Linked DNA regions of Macaca mulatta. The protein of the gene in region 1 interacts with the protein of each later gene in a biochemical or structural test. Links are inferred from orthologs where the notes say so. Each region holds a gene or a part of one and is shown on either strand. Other genes may lie near its edges.

What was found.
Region 2: of the proteins of USP33 (region 1) and ARRB2, one has a biochemical effect on the other in vitro, tested with the Homo sapiens proteins (2 studies listed by BioGRID, with this or other methods). The link is inferred for Macaca mulatta from reciprocal best matches to the Homo sapiens genes USP33 and ARRB2.

What each region holds. Positions count from the first base shown.
Region 1 is NC_133406.1:162,808,266-162,812,078, forward strand, and holds part of USP33 (ubiquitin carboxyl-terminal hydrolase 33), read left to right. Parts: intron 1-2,966; coding exon 2,967-3,080; intron 3,081-3,765; coding exon 3,766-3,813. UniProt on the Homo sapiens protein: Deubiquitinating enzyme involved in various processes such as centrosome duplication, cellular migration and beta-2 adrenergic receptor/ADRB2 recycling.
Region 2 is NC_133421.1:6,246,852-6,250,664, forward strand, and holds part of ARRB2 (beta-arrestin-2), read left to right. Parts: intron 1-252; coding exon 253-320; intron 321-446; coding exon 447-582; intron 583-820; coding exon 821-905; intron 906-1,172; coding exon 1,173-1,245; intron 1,246-2,042; coding exon 2,043-2,180; intron 2,181-2,982; coding exon 2,983-3,066; intron 3,067-3,159; coding exon 3,160-3,239; intron 3,240-3,316; coding exon of another isoform or gene 3,317-3,352; coding exon 3,353-3,407; intron 3,408-3,699; coding exon 3,700-3,793; 3' UTR 3,794-3,813. UniProt on the Homo sapiens protein: Functions in regulating agonist-mediated G-protein coupled receptor (GPCR) signaling by mediating both receptor desensitization and resensitization processes.

The DNA.
Region 1 (3,813 bases):
GGGATTATAGGCATGGGCCACTGCGCTCGGACGTTAAAGAAGAGACATTTAGGCCAGGCGTGGTGGTTCACACCTGTAATCCCAGCACTTTGGGAGACTGAGGCGGGTGGATCACGAGGTCAGGAGTTTGAGACCAATCTGGCCAACATAGTGAAACCCTGTCACTACTAAAAATACAAAAATGTAGCCAGGTGTGGTGGTGTGCACCTGTAATCCCAGCTACTTGGGAGGTTGAGGCAGGAGAATCATGTAAACCCTGGAGGTGGAGGTTGCAGTGAGCCAAAGTCACACCATTGCACTCCAGCCCAGGTGACAGTGTGAGACTCCGTCTCAAAAAAAAAAAAAGAAGAGACATTTACTCTGAAACTTGAGGAATAAGTATGAGCTGGTTGTTTGAAAGGATGGGGAGAGCATTCCTAGCAAAATGCTCCTTGTAAGCAGCCTTGGGATGGGAAAGAGCTTGACACATTTGAGGAACTGGAAGAAAATCTGTGTGACAGGGTACAGTAATCATAGGGCTGAACGACAAGGGTCTAGGTTATGTAGGCCACATTAAAGATGTAGGTCTTTATTCTCATAGTAGTACAATACCATTGAAGTGTTTGTATAGTAGGGTAGCTAATAATCTATATTTTAAAAATATTACTGTGGTTGCCACGTGGACAGTGAATTGGAGGGGGAAGAGAGTGGAATTTGAAAGACCAGCTAGAAGACTATGATAATGATTTAGGCAAGAAGTAGTGGTAGTTTACATCATCTAGGGTGGTAGGAAAAGAGTGAAGGAATTGGAGATAAACATTTTTAGGAGGATGATTGATTGATAGGATGTGGGTAGAGAAAGGGAGAGGAGGTTCAAGTTTAACAACACAATCCTAAGAGACCTGTAGGTTGTTGCTATTGTTATTTTTATACAGATAAGAAAACCAGACACAGAAGTTTAAATAACTTTGCCATTGTAACCAGCTAGTAAGTACTGGCGGAATTCTGGTTTTTTTTTTTTTTTTTTGAGACGGAGTGTCGCTCTGTCGCCAGGCTGGAGTGCAGTGATGTGATCTCAGCTCAGCTTCCTGAGTAGCTGGGACTACAGGCGCCGGCCACCACACCCAGCTAAGTTTTGTATTTTTAGTAGAGATGGGGTTTCACCATGTTAGCCGGGTTGGTCTCGATCTCCTGACCTCATGATTCGCCCGCCTCGGCCTCCCAAAGTGCTAGGATTACAGGCATGAGCCACAGCGCCCGGCCTTTTTTTTTTTTTTTTTTTTTTTTTTTTAAAGTTAGAGACAGGATCTTACTCTGTCACCCAGGCTGGAATGCAGTGGAACGATCATGGCTCACTGCAGCCTTGAACTCCTGGGTTCAAGGGCTCTTCCTGCCTCAGCCTGCCAAGTAGCTAGGACCACAAGTGCATGCCACTGCTCCCAGATAATGTTTTAAAAGTTTTGTAGAGATGGATTTTTGCTGTGTTGCCCAGGCTGGTCTTGAACTCCTGTCCTTGAGTCATGTCCTGCCTTGGCCTCCCAAAGTATTGGAATTACAGGCATGACCCACCATGCCTGGCAGGGACAAAATTCTGAATCTGAGATTTTTATGTGTATGTTTGTTTTTGTAGATCTTTTGTTGATTATTGCACAATACTGCTTCCATGGATTTACTTTGTAATTCCTCTGATTTCATTGAAAAAGATGTGGCTGATATGATTACACTATTGGTGGCTGGGTGTGGTGGCTCATGCCTGTAGCACTTTGGGAGGCTAAGGTGGGAGGATTGCTTGAGCCCAGGAGTTCTGGAACCAGCTTGGGCAACCTAACGAGACCCTGTCTCTACCGAAAAAAAAAAAAAAAAAGGATTACACTTGGCAAAGAGATGGCTTAGTAGTTATCTAACTGCCTTCATAGGGGGTTTGGTTTATGTAGGTCAGAATTTGGTCCTTTGCCCAGTCAGTTTTCTATAAATAGATTAATGGAGATTCCCTCAAGCTAATCAAACTCATGACAGACTATACTTCCTTATAAATTGCTAACTTGAGCCACCAACAAATATTAGTACCAAATAATGGAATGTAGAAGGCTGGAGGAAGTGCAGGTTCAGTTGAAAGTTAAATTTTTATCCTGTTCAGTTTGGGCATTTGATATAAATCTGAAATTTAGATGACATGGTTGACTTTATATAAATTTGATGATGATTAGAATATGGTTGAAAATTTTAGATCGCCCAGGGAAGAAAAGTATGTAGGGAAAAGTCATAGGATCAAGTCCTGAGGAATCCTTACATTTACATGTCTGGGGCCAAAAAGAGCAATAAAGAGGAAAAAGTAATTTTAAGAGGTAAAGAGGGAAAGTTGGAAAATGCATACAATAGTCCAGAGAAGATTTGTTCAAGAATGAGGGCATGGCCGGGCGCGGTGGCTCAAGCCTGTAATCCCAGCACTTTGGGAGGCCGAGACGGGCGGATCACAAGGTCAGGAGATCGAGACCATCCTGGCTAACATGGTGAAACCCCGTCTCTACTAAAAATACAAAAAACTAGCCGGGCGAGGTGGCGGGCGCCTGTAGTCCCAGCTACTCGGGAGGCTGAGGCAGGAGAATGGCGTGAACCCGGGAGGCGGAGCTTGCAGTGAGCTGAGATCCGGCCACTGCACTCCAGCCTGGGCGACAGAGCGAGACTCCGTCTCAAAAAAAAAAAAAAAAAAAAAAAAAAAGAATGAGGGCATGGTCGTCTGTGGCAAATGTTACTGAGTGGGGACTGAAAAGTGTATCTGGCAGCATGGAGGACTCTTGATATGGTGGGGCCAAATCTGATTTGAAAGGACTGAGCTCTTTATGAAGGAATGAAAGTGAAGCTGTAAAAGGGATCAAAGAAAGAAATGACAGCTATAGGGATGTACGTGTTGTCAGTTAATTGAATGACCAGAAATAATCAGTATTAGCTTTGACTCCACTCTAACATTTTTCTCTTTTTAAAATTAGCCCACCTTTGACACAGTTTTTTCTTGATTGTGGAGGATTAGCACGAACAGATAAGAAACCTGCCATTTGTAAAAGTTATCTCAAACTAATGACAGAGCTGTGGCATAAAAGCAGGTATGTAACTTAATATACTTTTCTTTATTAAACTTTTAAATGAATATTATAAATATTTAAAGGATGCAGGTCCATTTATGGAGCCAGAAAAAAGGAGAAGACAGACAGATTTGAGACAGCTTTGTTTCAGGCATGTTACATTTGAAGCTGAATGTAAGGTGTCAGAGAAGTTTTAGAAGCAGATGAAGGTGTCATGAAAGTCTGGAAGTATTTGGACTGGTGATATAGTGTTGGAATGTTAAAGCTGCTGTACAGCTGCTGTTACTGGAACTTTAGAGTTTTATATTCAGGAGTAGGCATTCTCACAATGATAAAATCAGACCCTAAATACTATATGAATATTTTCCTGCTTATGTTTATTTATTCTAAAGTTTAGCATTAGGATCACAGTTTACTGTAATATGTTAATAATTTTGTTTTAGAACTATTTGGGAAATTTGCATTTTTGAAAAGTCATGGGGTGAAGCATAATCATTTAATTGAGGGAGTATAGCAGTAAAATATCACTTAAAATATCAAGGATAAGGTGTTCTGATGTGCCTGTGGAACATATTAGGCAGTTTTGAATGATTTTTTCGAAATGTAATTTTCAATTTATTTAACACTTTGAATTATTGGTTGTTAATTTTTAAAATAAAAATTAAAAATAACAAAAATTACTCTTTAAAAATGTTTTCTTGCTCAGGCCAGGATCTGTTGTGCCTACTAATCTGTTTCAAGGAATTAAAACTGT
Region 2 (3,813 bases), on another chromosome or scaffold:
GCACGCGTGACCCTGCCTTCTGCTCTCTGGACCTGCATGGATCTGGGGATGGGGGCTCCCCTTGCCCCTTGCACTACCATGACCAAGCCTCTGCCAGGTTCGGGGCTTTGGAGAGGAAGACTTGGTCGCCAGGGTCGTGAGACCACAATGGGGCAAGCATCCCTGCCCAAGAGGAGGGAAGGGGGAGGAAGGAAGGGGAGTGATGGTGGCGGGAGCCTTGGGTAAGATGTGGCCTTTTCTCCCCCTCCTGAGGCCTGCGGCGTAGACTTTGAGATTCGAGCCTTCTGTGCTAAATCACTAGAGGAGAAAAGCCACAAAAGGTGAGGGACGCGACCTCCTCTATGATGTAAGAGGAGGCTTTCCAGGAGCCCAGGCCCCGTGCGGGGGAGGAGTAGGGGTCTAGGTGTCTGAGGATTGACCCCCTTCTGCCCCCACCCCCATCCCAGGAACTCTGTGCGACTGGTGATCCGAAAGGTGCAGTTTGCCCCAGAGAAACCCGGCCCCCAGCCTTCAGCAGAAACCACACGCCACTTCCTCATGTCTGACCGGTCCCTGCACCTCGAGGCTTCCCTGGACAAGGAGGTGGGGTGTGAGAGGGTGACGCGGATGCCACGGTGCAGTTTAGACCCAGGGGAGGGGGGGCGAAGCCACACGTCAAGATGACATTTGTAAAGGAGGTTGCCTTGGCTGGATGTGGAGAGTTGCCGTATGCTTGGGTTTGATGGGAGGGGGCCAGAACAATGTGTTGTGTTTGGGGACACACTGATGATGGGACCAGTAAAAACCAGATCCAATTCATATGACCCCCTCCCCCCAAAAGCTGTACTACCATGGGGAGCCCCTCAATGTAAATGTCCACGTCACCAACAACTCCACCAAGACCGTCAAGAAGATCAAAGTCTCTGGTAGGAGGTGGGGTTTGGAAGGGGGTCTTTGGGGAGGGTGTTACTGCACAGGTGGCTCCTGGTGTGATCTCAGCCCAGGCCATTTCCCAGGGCGGGAGACCCACCAGGGCTCAAAGAATTTAGGTTGTTCCAGAATGATACAGGGAGCCTCGGTGTTTACTGCTTCCAGGGGGGAGCATGGAGGGGCCACGCCACGGGGTCTGGAGTTGTGTTGTGGGGGTGGCTTGTGCTCCATCCAGAGCTGCCTGACCCTGTCCCCCCCCACAGTGAGACAGTACGCCGACATCTGCCTCTTCAGCACCGCCCAGTACAAGTGTCCCGTGGCTCAACTCGAACAAGAGTGAGTATCGGGAGAGACCCAGTTCCCAGTCTGGGGGAGAAGAGCAGGATCGGGAGAGTGTGAGGTGGGGGAAGAATTCTTCCTAAGCCATCGCCACTATTTTTTTTTTTTTTTTTTTTTTTTTGAGATGGAATTATTGCTCTTGTTGCCCAGCCTGAAGTGTGATGGGGCAACCTCTGCTCACTGCAACCTCCACCTCCCAGGTTCAGGCGATTATCCTGCCTCAGCCTCCCAAGTAGCTGGGACTACAGGCATGCAACACCATACCTGGCTTATTTTTATTTATTTATTTATTTATTTTTGAGACGGAGTCTCGCTCTGTCGCCCAGGCTGGAGTGCAGTGGTGTGATCTCAGCTCACTGCAAGCTCCGCCTCCCGGGTTCAAGCCATTCTCCTGCCTCAGCCTCCCGAGTAGCTGGGACTATAGGCGCCCGCCACTGCGCCAGGCTAATTTTTTTGTATTTTTAGTAGAGACGGGTTTCACTGTGTTAGCCAGGCTAGTCTTGAACCCCTGACCTCAAGTGACCCACCCGCCATGGCCTCTCAAAGTGCTGGGATTACAGGCGTGAGCCACTGTGACCAACCACCATCTTCACTTAAAAGGGTATTCCCTCTACAACCAGGCACCTCTGGGTTGCTAATTTTCTTGAGCACGTTGAGCCACAACCTACTCCCTTGTGACCTGTGCCCAAAGAGAGAAGGGACTGGTGAAGGGGAGATGCTGCTTGGGGGTGATAGGCCGCCCCTCGCCCAGTCCAGCCCCTTGAAGCGTCTTGTTCTCTTGTTCCCACCCCCAGTGACCAGGTATCTCCCAGCTCCACGTTCTGTAAGGTGTACACCATCACCCCGCTGCTCAGTGACAACCGGGAGAAGCGGGGTCTCGCCCTGGATGGGAAACTCAAACACGAGGACACCAACCTGGCTTCCAGCACCATGTGAGGGTGGGGCTGGGGCGGGTCCCCCACAGGCCAGGGGCCAGACGTCAGTTGAGTGCTAACTATGTGCCAGGCCCTATCCTAGGTGCCAGGGAGGTACAGTGAACAGAAGAGACAAAAAGAACTCTTACATTCTAGGAGAGGGAGGCTAGACAAATCCGATCAGTGGTCACTGTACGGCAGGTTTAGTGACAAGTATGAAGGAGAAAAAGCCAGGCAGAGAAGGGAGGGATGGGGCGCAGTGAGATGCAAAGGTGAATTGGGAGTAAGGACCCAGCGGAAGTAAGCAACATGGGTGAGCAGGAAAGGACAGTTCTGGGCAGAGAAAAAACAAAGACTCAGAGGTGGGGCAGCCTGGAGTGTTGGAGGAATGGGGAGGTGCCATCGTGCCCTCGGGCAGGAGCAGCCCTGGAGGTCCTCAGCTTCACAAAGGGCTGGATTTCACCTTCCCCGGTGCCTTTGTTCAGGGTTCTCACTGCACAGCCACATACAACAGGCCCGGAAGGCAACTTATCAAGAACTAAGTAGCAGGAGAGGAGGAGGAGGTGAGGTCAGGGGCTAATGGAGAGCCAGACGGTGCAGTGCTGTTAGCGGAGAAGGACAGCTTTTACGGGAGAGAAACCACAGGAGGCTCTGCACGGGGAGTGCAGCGCGCACTGTACCGTAACCGCACGCCCGGGCTGCTGGGGCCCCGCGGGCCTGTGCGAGTTTGTGGTCCTGCCCAGAGGCCCCATGGGAACCCCACGGTGGGCCAGGTGACAGGGGGATGGGCCCTGGTCTGACTCCACCACCGCAATTGCAGCGTGAAGGAGGGTGCCAACAAGGAGGTGCTGGGAATCCTGGTGTCCTACAGGGTCAAGGTGAAGCTGGTGGTGTCTCGAGGCGGGTGAGTGTCATGGGGGGTCCTGGGTGGGGGTCACACTGGCTCTCGATGGTCCTGTGTTGTCATCCTCTTCACGATCCCTCTCCCCTTCCCCAGGGATGTGTCTGTGGAGCTGCCTTTTGTTCTTATGCACCCCAAGCCCCGCGACCACACCCCCCTCCCCAGACCCCAGTCAGGTGAGCACACCGCCCACCCCAAGCCCTCAGAGGGAGGGCCTGAAGCAGGGCCAGTGGAGGAAAACTGGCCCTTCCAGCACCCACCCCCACACCCCCTCTTCCCATCCCCCCAGCCGCTCCGGAGACAGACGTCCCCGTGGACACCAACCTCATTGAATTTGATACCAAGTAAGAAACTCATTCCCCTACGTCACCCTCTTGGGACAAAGATTCCTGCCACATTCAAATCTGCCCTCATACCTCTTCCTCGCTTTCTGGGGGGAGAAGGGGATTGCGGCGTCAAATCAAGATGCTTAGCCTTGTGAGGCTGCCTCTTGCTGCCTTTTCTTTGTCCCTTCCTGTGAATACCTCTGGTCCCACTGCTGTTCGAACGCCTCTGTCGCAGAGGCCCAGCCTGGGGGAGGGCAGGGAGTGGGAGGCTAGAAGCCCTCACCTCACACCCCTCTTTCCCACCACCAAGCTATGCCACAGATGATGACATTGTGTTTGAGGACTTTGCCCGGCTTCGGCTGAAGGGGATGAAGGATGACGACTATGATGACCAACTCTGCTAGGAAGCAGGGCGGGAAGAAGG